2 linked regions of the Caenorhabditis elegans genome follow. The protein of the gene in region 1 interacts with the protein of each later gene in a biochemical or structural test. Each region holds a gene or a part of one and is shown on either strand. Other genes may lie near its edges.

Region 1 (8,204 bases):
GCGTGGTTCCCTCTGCAGCGCCTCTGAAATTTCTCCAAGAGGAGTCCGAATAGAGACGAGCCACAGCTTGAGCACATCCTTCAAAGTCATTCCACAGCTTATCGTTTTCCGTCAGATCCTCAGTACAATCACAACGACGGTGGGCACCGCCAGTTCTCGAAGAACAGCTCGAGTGATGATTCGACATATTATGCGAACTGAAAACATTAACATAATTTTTTATTAAAAGAAAGAACTGTCGGAAATCAAGTTCGAGAATATTAGAAAAAAAACGGGGAATTTTAAATGTTATAATTAATGTTTTCAACAAAGATTAGGCAATCGCGTGAGCAAGGTTTCATTCAACAAAACGAATATCGATTAGCTACACAATCTCATCAGTCTTTCAATTGCATGGGAGTTATGCTCCCCGAGCAAGTTCTAAGCGACTAATTTATCGATTTCTGGGTGAACATCAGCATCAGATGACGAAATAATTACAGAATAAAGATAGTTAGATGGAGAGAGTGAGAAAGATTGGAAAACGATTGGGTGCGTCCGGTCAAGAAATTGAGAGGAGAAGTTATCTTAAAGATGAAATGAAAAGATAGAAATGAAGGATTTATTGGTAAATTTGCAAGATTTGAGGTAAAAAATGAGTTATGGAAAATTTAAAACCAATTTTTCAAGGATGAGCAGTTGAAATATGAATGACTCATTACGAATACACTAGAGAAAAAGCTAATCGGGGAAATAAATGGCTGGGAAATTAATAATGTTTAAAAAACAGCTCTTGTAAAACTATTTTGTATTCAGAGTATGAAAGCAGGGCATAAAAGATAACTAAAAACATGAACGATTGGCGTCGAATCATTGCGAAAAACGTGGGTATACAGAGGCCGTTATTCGAGGTTTTCAGAATTATCAATTGAGATTCAATTGCATGTTTTCATAAAAACCGACAGGAATAAGCCATTTCTTCCGATTTTTTTTTCGAAATTTTGCGAAAATCGATGGGGAAACAATGAAAAAAGTGTCTGAAACGGGCAGAAAATGAGGAAAAGAGAGTAAAGAGAGAGAGCGGCCGAAACAAAACATTCGATTAGCAATGGAGCATGTTTGCTGACTCATGTGTCGACAGTTTAAATGCTTTTTGATCATCTGTTTATGAAGTTTTTCAACATTTTTATTGATTTTCAGAACTGGAGATTTTATTGCTATTTTTTAAGAACATAAAATCTAATTTTTTAGTGTGAGAAAGTTCTTTTAAAAGTATTAAAACAAAAGAAAAGCAACACGAGTACTGTATTAAAGGCGCATACCAAAAATCATGAGTCCGGTCTCACGAAGCGTTTGCACCACAATTAAAAGTGCCATTATCGATAGTTATCTTCTCAAATTAAAATTTGTTTCGTCTTTCCGGGTGCAAATCTATTTAAGCTTGAATTTTCATTAAATCACAATGTTTTATTTGCTTAAAACATTTTAACGTGACATTTTCATTTTCAAAGCTAAGTTTCCTTTTTTATTTATTTCTGACACGTGACGATGCTAGTCCGGCCGAGAAAAATGTTTAAAATCCTTAAACGGCCCGACACATTAAGGTATTTTGTTCTCGTTTATTCAATTTTCCCGATATTTGTATTCGTTTCTCAGGCTTTTTTCCTGTTTCAACTTTTATTTTCAGCCTATGCAACCTTCCGTGCGATCAAAAAATGATAACATCGAGAAACAATGATATTGGGAACCTGATAGAACAGGTAAATGTGATAAACGGAGAAAAGTATTTATTGTTAATCAAATTAAGTTTCGTCAACGTGACACGCCACAGAAGGAACGGAAAGCGATTCTCGCTAGAATCGAGGAGATTCTTCAAACTACGAAAAATGTAGAGGTTTGTTTTCCCTTCGGAAGCATTACGGAAAACCAAGAAATTATTATTTTACAGAGTCTTTGTGTAAAATGGACTTATCTTTTGGATAACTTGTGTTGGCCTAGTCTCACAAAACACGATCGGAATGACATGAAAACGCTGGCTGGAAAAGTGATACGACTTGTTGGAGTTTTACTCTTTGATACTGAATCCTATCCAGAGTTTGTGAATTTTGCCATTTGAAGATATAAAATAAAAATTTTTCAGGTTTCTGATTTATCTTGGAACATTATATCAAAGTGTTACGAAGAAAAGTGAAGAAACACGTGCGGATATCGTGTTTTCAGTGTATTTCATCGTTGGAGTCATCAGTCAAAAAACGGAGAATCGTCTAATTGCTACCGACACTGAAAATGTCGAAAAATCATTAGACTGGATAATCAAAGTGCTTCCGAATTCATCAATATCAGTTTATAACCACTGTTTGAAAGGATTTGTACTTGTTGCAAACACATTTCCAAATGTTTATGCTGCAATGTTTGAGGTATTTTATTTGAAAAATAATAAAAAAATTTCGCTTTTTCCAGTCAACCCTCCGAGCAATTCTGACCAACCTTCCCGATTTCAACAGTCATGAAAAGAATTTTGAGCTTCTCATTGATACAGTGATGCGATTTTCTGATCAACTTAATGAGAAGCCTCATTTGGCAGAAGAAATGGTTCGAATTATTCGACCGGATATCAAAAAGAATGGATTGGGAAATATGAGAGAATTGAAGAAACGAATGAAACTGACAATGGCACTCGTGAAAATGGCGAAAAGTCAAAAAATGCTTGAGGAGACTAATCAGATGGTGAGAATATGATGAGGGAACACATTATTTGCTGAAATATCTGAAAATTTCAAAAATAAATTATCTAAAAAAGCTTTAGAAAGGCAAATTCTCAAAAAGTTGAAATATTTATTTTGTTATTTGTGAATAATAAGTTCCAAGGACTTAATTTTGTTCTTTAAAGTGTGATATTGATTTTATTCAATTCATCTTTATTTTAAAATTCAAGTTCGTGGACCAAAAACAGATTTTCCCAACAAAAAGTTAACAAACTGCTTATTATTCTTTTTATTCAATAAATTTCAGATTTCTGAAATGTCTATCGAACTCGAGGAAAACGGAGGAAAATGGTCATCAGCTTCACTTATAACTATCGTTTGTGATGTTTTCAATGAGCTCTTGATATTGGGAAAAGATGATGTAAAATTGCAAAAAGGAGTTGAAGAATCATTGTGCAATGTTCTGAAAGACTTGAATCTTTCTAATCAGAGTACTATGGAGAAACAAGCATTTTTCAATTCTCTTGCAAAGGTTTGGTTTTTTGCCACAAAAATATCCGAAATTAGAGTATTACCCGAAATTTGGCGCTGAAACTAAAACTACGGTACTTGGTCTCGACACGACAACTTTTTGCTAAATGCGAAACGGTGTGCGCCTATTATTACTGTACTTTTAAACCCTTGTTGCTGCGGAATATTGCTATTTTTAAACGTTTTTTTCACGATTTATTAAAATTTATTTGAAAAACTATGATAAAACTTTGATGCACTGAACGAGAATTTGAAACTACTGTAACCTGTAAAGGTGTACATCATTCTGCATTTCCCAAAAATGTTTCGTGTCGAGCGTAGGTGCTGTATTGTTGGCGCAAAATGTTGCGTCTGGGTAATACAAGCTGCTGGTGTATGTAATTGATTTCAGATTGTCAAACAACTTCCAGCAGAGTCACAAGTCAAAACTAGAGTTCATCAGATTGTTTTCAACACGGAAACTGGACTTTTCACACCCAAAAACCGCGATAATCGAATGTTTGGGTGAGAAAAAGTTTTTAAGTCGATGCTCTATCGTATCGGGGAGTACGATGTTTTTCAAAATCAATTTTTATAATTTCAGACATAATATGATATACAAGGATCTTATCAATCTTGTCTCTGTGCTTCTTACGCCTACATCACTCAATCATCTACAAGCGACATATACGGATTTGAGGAAAATAATGATAGGTTAACTTTAATTAAATCTGTGAATTCAATTGATTAATTATTTCCAGATAGCATGTCACGATTGAAGCAAAGTGAAGATACTCCGTATAGTGATAATATTCGATGGAATGAATCAATCCTTTTGCTTTTCTTTTCGTCACTTCAAAGTATATCATGTGCCAAGAGTTCTCTTATTGTGGTTTGTTTAAAAATAACAATTATTTTCGCAGAAAACAACGATTTTTAACAATTAAAGAACAAATTTTAGATGATGGGAATCCGTCCGTCAATTTTTGAATTCTTCTCATCGGAACTTCCACTCACAGAATATTGGCTTGCTTCAAATCATCCAGAAGTCTATCACCTATTTATCACAATATTTGTTGGACATTTGAAAGCGTGAGTATGACAGAATAAATACTTTAATAAATCAATTCTTTCAGTCACGACTTCTACATTGTTCAATCTGATTATATTGTTCGTGGTGATAGCATTGGACAAAGTATAGGACAAACGAAACGAGATTATGCACGGAAACAAGTTGTTGCTCTACAGAAAATTATCAACAATTTTGGAGACAAATTGTGGAAGAAGACTAGGTTTATTCTTGAGCATTCATTATATTTTATTTTCAATTTTTAATAAATTGTGATTCAGACTGATGATATCTTCATGGCTTCACTCTCTCATTGCAACTGCTTGTGAACATCAAATCGGAAGTGATAGTTTCAGTCAACGAGAATGGGTTCGATTAAGGAATACTGTCATTCATCAGTCGGTGCTCACATGGAATAATGAATGGTATACACTTGAATTGCTTGAATTTCTAGCAGTTTTCACATTTTCTCAATCATTTGTACCAAGCAACACTTGCTGGAAAATCAAAAAAAAATCAATTTTTAAAATATCCCGCTACGCGCCCAACATTGAAATATATAATTCCTGGGACTTCTTTTTGGAATTTTAATTAAAAATAATTATATTCCGTATTTTGATAATTTAAAATTCTTTCACTTATTTTTGAGAAGTTTGCATGTTGGATATCAACATACTAAATAGTTTTCTGGGAAGTGGCCAGGTTTTTCGGTTGTAGGAAAGACTTGTATTATATTGTTCATTGAAAACAAGTATATCAATAGTATTCTTTTCTGAATTGGCACTTATAAAAGTGAAATCGAGATGCTGAAAACTAGTTTCTTCTGTCAGTTTCAGTTTAGATTGATTATAGTTCTTTTCTCTCTATTCTCCTCATATTTTCTAAAAATTTGAACTAAGTTATATATTTTCAGTGTAAATCAAGCATTGACCATCCTCTCCACTGCTACAAAATGGTCAGAACTGACGTCAGACATCCATCGAGATATTGCGGATAAAACGAAAAAAGCAAAGTGGAAGGAGGCAACGACAATTTGGGAATCTGGAGATTGTAATACTTATATCAGGTATTGAAAAGAACTCTTTAAAATTATTTCAAGCTTTTCGATTTTATTCCACTATTTGATTCAAAAAAATGTTTGCACTCAATATGTTTCAAAGAGTGTTTATGTATTTATGACTATCGAAAAAAAAAAGAACTGAATGACGGATAATCGGTGTCTACATTCAGGCGGCGGTCACGTATACTCTAAACAATTTTGAATTATTTTTGACATTCTTTGTGAAGTTTTAAACCTGTAATTAGCTAAATCGAAATGATGAAAGACGGAAAACGCAAGATTTTATTTGAAAACTTTGTATAAAACTGGTATCTTTCACCCTCAAATCTGGTTATTTCAGTTTAAAAACTAGAGAGCATTAGCTCATTGAGCTCTGGTTCTTGTTTATTTATTTACTCGAATGAATAAAACAAGCGACTTTTATTGTTTTCATGCCTACTTGCACCTGCGTCTAACTAACTAACTATTAGGCGAGAGTTTCTGCATGAATTACACACTGGAAATTTGCCCAAAACAAACGTCACTCTACTTGACAGTCTATAGCTTGTTTTCATCGCCTGGAGGTGGAGTAGCGTGAATACGGATTTGCTTTAAAATATTTGAAACAGACTGAAATTCATAAGTACCAGACAAAAAACGAAAAAAAAAGTATTTCTTGTTTTTTATACAACTTCGTAAAAGTAAAATGATTTATTTTCCAGGCAATCCATGTCTACAGTCTATCAAATGTCACAGGAACGACAACAGAAGACAATTACATCGACAAGTTTTGGAGCCGAAGAGTTTATAATAATTACGAATTTCTTGTTGAAACAGGCAACACCAACTACTTTCAAGTGAGTTCATAATTAAAACCTTTCTACGTATAAATTGAGTTCCAGAAAAGGTCAAAACTCATGGATGGATGAAGTACTGGAAACATTCACACAAGGATGTCGTACGCTTGAAAAACCCGATTCATACGTTCCAGAGACATTTATCGAAAAATGGGATTGGATTATTAATCAGACTGCAAACTTTTGCATTGTGAATAAAATGAAGACACCATTAGGAAAACCAATGCAGACTTTTGCAGCTTTTGAGAGTAGGTTAACAACTAGATTTCAAATTTTATGAGTAGAAATTAGCTGTAGTTAAATAATTATTCATTAATTGCAGATGAAATTAAACGACTTGCGAAAGAAGTGATTGTTCGAAAGAATAGTGATAAGAAGTTGAATAAATCATCTACAGAAGATCCAAATCAATCTCCACCACTCAAATATTCCGTTCAATGGCTTCGTGTTCATTTACTTCTAAAATTGATTGTAGTTTTGGAAAAACTTATGAACTCAGCCATTCATGGTGGTTCTTCCGTTTTCAATTTGACTGAAATTCCAGTGGTATGCTTAATTTTTTTGTCTAGAAATATCGTATATTTCAGTCCTCTCGCCAATTTTTCACAGTGAACGCAGCAAGTTGTGAGGTTTGGCTGAATCGAGTATACTATCCTGCTCTTCTTGTCGCATATTTCAATGGATATTATGGACTTGTAAATGATCTTAAAATTCTTATATTTTGTTACTGATTTTGTTATAGTTTCAAACGTAAGCCTAAATGTCATAAATTTCAGGTTATTCGATTTGGTTCAAATGCTCTTAGCCATTTCGCGAGACAAAAAGACGGAGATAATGATAAAAAGATCGTGAATGGCGTTTGTACAGCAAGTTTAATGTCACTTTCAATGGCAGTTCTCGGTGAACCAATGGAAATTGTTGGATTACGGAGAAAAGTTCGAGAAGAATTCGGAACTGACATGGGACAATCATTGATGGAGGCACTCGGAGAAATGGCTAATGCTAGGTGAGTGATTATGCAGAAATATATATTTTTATAATTATTATAATATTAAGATATGAGACAGCTCTGGTTGCCTTGGAAGCAGTTCTTGTGACAGATGCAGCAACAAATGAAACATTGAAAATGATCATTCAACTAGCAGTATGTGCTAATCAATACAATCATTTTAATTTTTTTCAAAATTTCAGATGGTTGACATTTTGAACCGCATACGCCTCCCACAGGCTACCGATTATTATAAGGTTGTCTTATTTGGTGAAGAATCAAATGATTCCACAATTACTGAAGACTTTCGATCGTAAGATTTTATGAAATTTCGATTTGTGCTCACAGAGAAATTATAATTGAAATAATAATTATTACATTTTAGAGTTGAGTTACTCACGAAATTCGAGAAGCTCAACAATACAGTGAACGAAAAGCGTCAAGTTGTTGATTGGAGTGCTCGAGAACGTTTCCAATTTGTTGAATCCGCATTTTCACAGACTATGAGAAGGCGAGTGTCTAGGGTGTCGGTTTTCCAATATTTCGAAGAAAAAACATCGATTTTTCGAGAAATAGCTTGAAGTTTTAGCCATATATTTTTTCTCGAAATATTATACGAAAATTACTTACGGATAAACTAACTTTTGCACTCTAAACTTCTATTTTCCATAAAATTTTAAAAATTAAAAAGGATAACTAAATGAGCAACTTTTTCAGAACCGAACTTCTCGACATTCAAAAAGATTTTTCCGCGATGGGAGCACTTGCATTGAGTGCTGATTCATCGTGTAAATTGTATTCGGACATTTCATCAACATCTCTCATAATTGCAAATCTTGTCAATAAAATGACTGGTGTCTCACAATGGAAGAATAAACTCACTGATACGGAAATATTCGATAGAAATGAAGAAGGAAATGATGGTGATAAGTTGGCAATATGTCGAAAGTTAATGCATTGGGGACGACACACAAAGAGTAATCGTACGTTTTTCAATTTATGAGAAGAGAAATTAAGTAAAATCATGTTTGGTTATAATTTTCAAAAAATAAAAATA
Region 2 (8,320 bases), 5.7 Mb from region 1:
AAAATTTTAGAGTTTTCCCTAATTAATTTTTCAAAAAGTTAACGCAGAAAAATACTGAAAATTAATCAAAAACTAAAACAAATAATTGAAAAAAAAATTTTTTTTGGGACAATTTTTTTTTCAGACATTACACGGATTTCTGGGTTCCGACAATTCCTTATAAATACAGAAAGATGTGCGCCTTTAAAGGTTACTGTAGTTGTAAAAATTATTTTTTTCCCACGATTTCGGGAAAAAAATTCGCAGAAAGGAAAAGCTCGAAAATACAGTAGTACCCTCTTTAAAGGCGCAGATTGATTTATACCGAAAAATTGTCGTGTCGAGACCCTGTATTTTTGTTCTAAAAAAGTTAAAATTGAAAAAAAGGAAATCCTGTTTTTTTATCTGAAAACTGCCAAAAAAATCAAATTCAAAAATCAAACATTTTAGAGTTTTCCCTAATTAATTTTTCAAAAAGTTAAAGCAGAAAAATACTGAAAATTAATCAAAAACTAAAACAAATATTTGAAAAAAAAAAATTTTTTGGGACAATTTTTTTTTCGGGGATCAGGGGAAATTTTGGAGTCAATCCATCTTTAAATTGCAAAAAATTAAAAATGTCGAGTTTTCAAAAAGATTTTTTTTACTGAAAAAAACCGAAAAAATCGGAATTTAAAAAACTAGGCCACCAAAATTTCACCGCGGCCACCCACGCTCTTACATGAGAATCAAAAAATGCCATATCATGGTGCAATAGCTTCTGAAACAAGTCCGACCGCATTTTCGTCGCCATTCGTTCTCCGAGAACCGTTAAAAATGTGATATAAAGAAATGTGAGAGCAGATTGTGCAACATATAGTGTCATTAAGTGCAGAGCAGATGGCTTGAGCTGTTCAAAATGAGATCGTAAATTGTTCGACTCGTCCTTGATGATTTTCACGATTCCGTTCACCAAATCGCCCAGGCATAGTGGAATTTGAATGTTGATGTAGGCTGAGAGGATGGCGCACTGCAAAAAAAACTGATAATTTTTCTCAATTTTTTAAGGAAAAATTGACTAAAATTAAAATTTTTTTGTTTTTAAAATTTTTTCTGGTGAAATTCCGAAAAAATTACAAGATTTTCGTACAATTTAATGTAGAAATTAAAATTTTTAGCCCCCCAAAATAACTGAAAAACTTCAAATTCCGAGATTTAAAACAAAAATTTTGTAATTTTTTGTAATTTATCCGGACAAAACCGACTTTTAGCCAATTTTTTCTTTAAATGTGGACTCCACTCTGTGGGAAAATTGCTTTAAAACATGCCTATGAGGCCATAATGACCGAATATCATTAATTCGTATGAAATCAATGAAATTTCATAGTTAAATTGGAAAATGGCAACATTTTTGCTTAAAATTTGTAAAAAATCATGTTTTTTGGGCATTTTTGGTGATTTTCTTTCGATTTTTATGATATTTCGGCGGTTTTCACCCAATTTCATTAGAAAAAATTGAAAAAATCTCAGTTTTTGCCTAATTCCTAATTGAATTTCCGCCAATTGGATTCGTTCGTTGGAGCGCACTTGCATTATTTTCATTAATTTTTTAAAATTATTTTTTATTATTTCACTGATTTTCTTCATTATTTGTGCATTTTTATCGGAAAAAAGAACTGAAAAAGCAAGAAAAATACAAAATGTTTGTTAAAAAGTAACTGAAAATGCGTAAAACTGTGATTTTTTGAGTTCTGAGGACGACGAGCCTGAAATTTGTATTATTCATGGAGTTTTAGGTATTTTTAGTCACTTTTTCATAAACATTTTGCATTTTTCTTGTTTATTTCGTTCATATTCCGATCAAAAACCCCTAAAAATGAAGAAAATCAATGAAATAATGATAAAAAAAATAATGCAAGCGCGCTCCACCGAACAAGTTCAATTGGCGGAAATTCAAATAGGAATTAGGGGAAAACTGAGATTTTTTCAATTTTTTCTAATGAAATTGGGTAAAAACCGCCGAAAAATCATAAAAATCGAAAGAAAATCACCAAAAATGCCCAAAAAACATGATTTTTTACAAATTTTAAGCAAAAATGTTGCCATTTTCCAATTTAACTATGAAATTTCATTGATTTCATACGAATTAATGCGGAAATTAAAGTTTTTTTGCTGGAAAATTGACAGGAAACCTGAAATAAAATTAAAAAGCAAGATTTTAGGTGAAAATTGCACAATTTTTTGTAAGTTAACTATAAAAATACGTATTTTTCTCGATTTTTCCCAGTTTTCAACCGGATTTTTATCGAAAAATTCACCACAACTGCAGCGAAAAACCAGCCGAAAAAGGGTTTAATCAAATTCCACAGCTCTCCGGCCGTCATTGACGCATTCTGATCCTCCGTCGTCCTCAAATGGTCGATGCGTTTGCTCAATTTCGGAGCACATGCCGCTTTTCGTAGGGTTACAGCTCCTAAACCGGCTCCAAACCCACAAATTCGCCATGTTTTGAGTATTGTTGTCCTTGAAATCGGTTTGTGAAGCCATGGATAGCTGGAAAAGCTGCAAAAAACGGGAAAATATATGGAAAAATGGAAAATCAGCAGATTTTTGCAGATCTTACCAGTGTTTGCTGCTTTGCACGGCGCTTTTGATGGATATTTGGGATAGTTTAGATAGAATTGACATTAAAAACCAGGAAAAATCAATACAAATCAATAAAAATCAGTTCTTATCAGCGATTTTTTCCGATTTTCCAAGAAAAATAATAATCGAGAAAACATAAACTCCGTGCGGCACACTTGCAAAAACCGTGCGCCCACCTTGCAATGAGGTGTTTTTATCATATTTTTTCATTTTTCGACCGTTTTTCGCAATTTTTTCTAACAAAACCTCATTTTTTGTATGAAAATGTTGAAAAAATATGCATTTTCATGGTTAAATTGTTAAAAATCACACAATTTTCGCTTAAAATCATCTAAAATGATGAAATATTGCTCATTTTAAAAGTTGGGGGGATTTTTCAGTTTGTTTTTCAAATTTGAGCTCAAATTTTAGGCATTTTTACCTTTTTCCGATAAAAAGTGAGCGGAAATTGAAAATTTTCAATTTTAATTGTTGAAATTTCCAAAAATGCACCCGCTTTGTGATTAAATTAACACAGTTCTCATTTTCGAAGGTTTTCCGCCAATTTTCGGCAAAAATGTTGAATTTTTACATGAAAAATCTGCAAAAATAAGTGTAAAAGTGGTAAAAAATTACGAAATATTGCTCATTGTTAGATTTTGCAATTTGAAAAATGCTTTTTTGTACTTTTTTCACCTATTTTACTCGAATACCGACAAATTTCTCATGAATGCTATCGATTTCTCATTCCAAAACCCCTCAAAAACGCACTTTTCTTCCAGTAATGGACGATTCGGACGACGAATATTCGAGAAGCCACGGGGAAACCCTCACATTTGTGGATCCCGAGGACGATGGAGTCTCTATTGGGAACACGCAGGACTCTCAGTTCGCCTATGAGCAGTTTAGTGTGCCTACGCAGAGTTCTCAGGTAGAAAATTGCCGCATTTGTGTCAAAAAATCGAAGGAAAATTCTGGATTTTGCTGAAAAATCAAGTTTTTCACATGATTTTTCAGAGAAATTTGTATTCAAAATCCTTTGAATTGATAGACTTTACACACTGAAAAAAACGATGAAAATCATGAAAAAAAAACCACTCGAAAATGGACAAAACCGATGGAATTTGTGATTTTTATTTTCAATTTTTGTTCGAAAATGAGTATAATCCCGTCAATTTGCAATTTTCAGATGCTTTTTTGCCCACTTTGCCCAATCAATTTTTCGTGCAAATTTCAAGAAAAATCGATCCAAAAGCTCGAAAAAATTAGATTTTTGTGCAAAAATTGCAAAATTTTTTGAATTTGGCCATTTTCGATTAGTTTTTCTTGTAATTTTCAAGAAAACAAACCGTCCAATTTTTTTTGGAGATGTTTTGTGATATAAATTATCTTTTCCAACAATATCAACGATTTTCTAGAAGCTCAACGTTAAAAAAGGTTAGAAAATTAGATTATACTATTACGGGAACACAAAATTCTGAGAATGCGTATTGCACAACATATTTGACGCGCAAAATATCTCGTAGCGAAAACTACAGTAATTCTTTAAATGACTACTGTAGGTCGATTTACGGGCTCGATTTTCATTTTTCCTTCGCCAAAATCGAGATTCCGTAAATCGACACTACAGTAGTCATTTAAAGAATTACTGTAGTTTTCGCTACGAGATATTTTGCGCGTCAAATATGTTGTGTAATACGCATTCTTAGAATTTTGTGTTCCCGTAATAGTATAATCTAATTTTCTAACCTTTCTTAACGTTGAGCTTGCTCTGGAAAAGATAATTTATATCACCAAAAACTTGTTTTAAAAAGAATTTTTCTCATTCCTTACTGTCAGGAATCTTGGAAATTGTGATTTTTTTTTCCAATATTTTTGTTTATCGCAATTTTCAGATGATTTTTGAGCACTTTGCCCACAATTTTTCGTGCTAATTTCAAGAAAATCGACCCAAAAGCGTACAAAAAATTCCAAGAAAATTCCAAAGCAATTTTAAAAATTCGACTCTCAAAAAAAAACACCTATTCCAGGCGACAGATCTTAATTTTAAATAAATTTTTATTCAAAATCCTCTGAAAGTGGAAATTTCAGTGGAAAAAAACCAAGAAAATCATAGAAAAGTCCCTTAAAATCAATTTTTTTTGTCAATTTTTCAAAATTCTCAACAAAAAAAAACCCATATTCCAGGCGACAGATCTGCTGCCAGGAGGAACCGATGGAACCACCAACGATTTGCCATTTCACGACGTGGAAGACGACGAGTCGGACAGTGAAAAATCACTGACAGAAGAGCAGCAGCAGCAGAAGCTGCCGGAGCACGCGTGTCGCTATTGTGGAATCTCTGATCCTCTGTGTGTCGCCAAATGCACAGTCTGCAGGAAATGGTTCTGTAATTCCAATGATGGAACGTCGGGCGGGCATATTGTTCATCATATGGTTCGGAGTCAGCATAAGGAAGCCTACACGCATAAGGATTCACCGTGTGGTGACACTCAATTGGAATGCTATCGTTGTGGTTCGAAAAACGTGTTTAATCTCGGCTTCATCCCCGGAAAAAAGGATCAAGTCGTCGTGATAATCTGTAGAACACCGTGCGCCAGTATTGCATTCCAGAATGATGATAATTGGTCGCCCGAGGACTGGAAATCTGTAATCGCTGAAAAACAGCTGCTATCGTGGATTGTTAATGTGCCCAGCGAGGAGCAGGTGGCCAGAGCTAGGAAAATCACGTTAGTGGAGGAAAATCGATTTTTGAGAAAAATTTTAAAATAATAATTAAAGGAATTTCCAACCAAAAATGCAATTTCCGAGCGATCGAATTTTAACAATTTTTAACTAAATCTCGCCGTCCATCGACTTTAAAATACCTAAATCGAGTTGAAAACGCAAGATAATTAAATTGTATACTCAAAATTTGACGGTGGTTACAAAAAAAAAATAGTTTCCAGCCGCTTTACAAGTCGGTCAAATTTCAAATTTTAACTAATTTTAGGCCATTTTTTGAACCGTCATAACTTGTTTTTTGAGAAGTTTCACTATGAAATTCGGTGTTTTCTGAGTTGAATAAAGCAATTTTAAAAAATTCGACTACACCACCTTTAATATTTCTATAGCTTCGATTTTTTTGTTGATAAAAAATCTATTCCCAGTTTCCAAAAGAAATTGAAAATTGAATTTTTTTTCGAATTTTCGTGCAAAAAATTCTCAATTTCTACCGGCATTGGTGCAAAAAGCCGGAAAAACACAAGTGGTATAGTACTTTTAAATAGCTATATATATATATATATATATATGAAAAACTAAATTTTCCAGTGCTACCCAAGCAGTCCGAATGGAAGAGCTCTGGCGTGATCACCCAGAAGCAACCGTTGACGATTTAAATAAACCGGGACTCGATCGAGAACCGGATCATGTTCAATTAAGATATGTGGATGCTCATCACTATTCGAAAGTGTTCCGTCCATTAGTTGCAATTGAAGCAGAATATGATCGAAGAGTTAAAGAATCAGCATCACAAGCAGTCGGAACTGTTAGATGGGAACAAGGACTTCGTCAATCGGTTCTCGCGTTCTTTCATCTTCCACAATTTGCTGATGGTGTCATGAAGCTTGCGAAAGGCGATGAACTTCGATTGAAACATTCTCAGACGGTTGATGGATCGGAATGGACCAAGATTGGAAGTGTTTTCAAGATTCCTGATAGTAAGGGATGGGAAAAATAAAAATAAAAATTTTGAGTAGTTTTTCTTGGAATTTTCAAGAAATAACTGTCCAAAATTTTTTTTTTGGAGATTTTTCCTGATATAAATTGTATTTTCCAGTAATTTCAACGATTTTCCAGAAGCTGAAAAGGTTAGATATTTAGTTTATACTATTACGGGAACACAAAATTCTGAAAATGCGTATTACACAACATATTTGACGCGCAAAATATCTCGTAGCGAAAACTACAGTAATTCTTTAAATGACTACTGTAGGTCGATTTACGACGCGCTTGATTTTCATTTTCACACGAACGAAAAAGTGAAAATCGAGCCCGTAAATCGACGCTACAGTAGTCATTTAAAGAATTACTGTAGTTTTCGCTACGAGATATTTTGCGCGTCAAATATGTTGTGTAATACGCATTTTCAGAATTTTGTGTTCCCGTAATAGTATAAACTAAATTTCTAACCTTTTGAGCTTCTGGAAAATCGTTGAAATTATGGGAAAGTACAATTTACATCACCAAAAATCTGCAAAAAAAAAAATTTCGGTCGGTTTTTTCTTGAAAATTACAAGAAAAACTACTCGAAAATGACCAAAATCAATTTTTTTTTGAGCTTTTTTAACTTTAAATTCTTCGGAAAAATTTTTTTTCCCGCTTTTGGATCGATTTTTCTTGAAATTAGCACGAAAAATTGGGCAAAGAGCTCAAAAATCATCTGAAAATTGCAAATTTACAACAAAAAAATCACAAATTCCATCGTTTCTGGCCATTTTCGAGTGGTTTTTCTGTGAATTTCAAGAAAAATTGCACAAAAAGCTCCAAAAAATTTCACGTTTACAAATTTGCAGACCACGGCGACGAGGTAGGCATCGAAATCCGCGGAGCTGTCGACAAATCAGTGATGGAGAGTCGGATTATGTTCACCGTCGACGTCGTCTGGAACGCCACCACCTTCGAGCGACAGTACAAGGCTCTTGCGGCGCTGCTCAACGACTCCAAAGCAATATCTCCATATCTCTACCAGAAGCTTCTGGGTCATCCAGCCGAGGAAATGATGCTCAAGTTTGATCTACCGCGTCGGCTATCTGTCGCTGGACTCCCCGAGCTTAATAGCTCCCAGATGCAGGCAGTGAAGCAGGTGCTCACCCGACCTTTAAGCTTGATTCAAGGACCTCCGGGAACTGGAAAAACCGTAGTTTCGGCGACAATCGTCTATCATTTGGTGCAGAAAACCGAGGGAAACGTGCTCGTGTGCTCGCCGAGCAACATCGCCGTCGATCACTTGGCCGAGAAGATTCACAAGACGGGATTGAAGGTTGTGAGGCTTTGTGCGAGATCTCGAGAGCACAGTGAGACTACAGTACCCTACTTGACGCTTCAACATCAGCTAAAAGTGATGGGCGGTGCGGAGCTTCAGAAGCTGATTCAGTTGAAAGATGAAGCCGGGGAGCTCGAGTTTAAGGATGATTTGAGATATATGCAATTGAAAAGAGTCAAAGAGCATGAGCTTCTCGCCGCCGCTGACGTCATCTGTTGTACGTGCTCATCGGCGGCTGATGCGAGATTGTCGAAGATCCGTACGAGAACTGTGCTCATTGATGAGAGCACACAGGCGACAGAGCCCGAGATTTTGGTCTCTATTATGAGAGGAGTCAGGCAATTGGTTTTAGTTGGAGATCACTGTCAACTGGGACCGGTTGTTATATGTAAAAAGGCGGCGATTGCCGGATTGAGCCAATCTTTGTTCGAGAGACTTGTGCTTCTCGGTATTCGACCGTTCCGGCTTCAGGTTGGGTCATTTTCGGGAAAAAACTACTGAAATTCGGCATTTTAAATTGAACTTACTGAAAATTATCACTGAACCTTTAAAAAATCGATTTTCTACAACTCGGACTCTAATTTTTGAAAAATTTTGTTTGAATTTTATGAAGGTTCAGATATTTTCAGAAAGTTTACAAGTTTTCTACGAGATTAAAAAAATCGAACCAAAATTTACTTTGTAATTAAAGGTGGAGTAGCGCCAGTGGGG

The links.
Region 2: of the proteins of smg-1 (region 1) and smg-2, one has a biochemical effect on the other in vitro, tested with the Caenorhabditis elegans proteins (one study listed by BioGRID).

The regions. Positions count from the first base shown.
Region 1 is NC_003279.8:6,907,042-6,915,245, reverse strand, and holds the start of smg-1 (Serine/threonine-protein kinase smg-1), read left to right. Parts: upstream 1-1,694; coding exon 1,695-1,739; intron 1,740-1,786; coding exon 1,787-1,873; intron 1,874-1,927; coding exon 1,928-2,073; intron 2,074-2,119; coding exon 2,120-2,396; intron 2,397-2,439; coding exon 2,440-2,706; intron 2,707-2,991; coding exon 2,992-3,216; intron 3,217-3,606; coding exon 3,607-3,719; intron 3,720-3,798; coding exon 3,799-3,908; intron 3,909-3,955; coding exon 3,956-4,086; intron 4,087-4,155; coding exon 4,156-4,286; intron 4,287-4,330; coding exon 4,331-4,486; intron 4,487-4,544; coding exon 4,545-4,688; intron 4,689-5,176; coding exon 5,177-5,329; intron 5,330-6,024; coding exon 6,025-6,159; intron 6,160-6,198; coding exon 6,199-6,407; intron 6,408-6,481; coding exon 6,482-6,705; intron 6,706-6,746; coding exon 6,747-6,854; intron 6,855-6,935; coding exon 6,936-7,165; intron 7,166-7,215; coding exon 7,216-7,303; intron 7,304-7,350; coding exon 7,351-7,460; and 5 more. Other genes in the region: haps-1 (Essential protein Yae1 N-terminal domain-containing protein), read right to left, coding at 1-187.
Region 2 is NC_003279.8:1,173,108-1,181,427, forward strand, and holds the start of smg-2 (Regulator of nonsense transcripts 1), read left to right. Parts: upstream 1-3,365; 5' UTR 3,366-3,367; coding exon 3,368-3,514; intron 3,515-4,770; coding exon 4,771-5,312; intron 5,313-5,895; coding exon 5,896-6,284; intron 6,285-7,139; coding exon 7,140-8,080; intron 8,081-8,320. Other genes in the region: haf-6 (Mitochondrial potassium channel ATP-binding subunit), read right to left, coding at 701-988, 2,277-2,520, 2,582-2,646. UniProt on the Caenorhabditis elegans protein: RNA-dependent helicase required for nonsense-mediated decay (NMD) of aberrant mRNAs containing premature stop codons and modulates the expression level of normal mRNAs.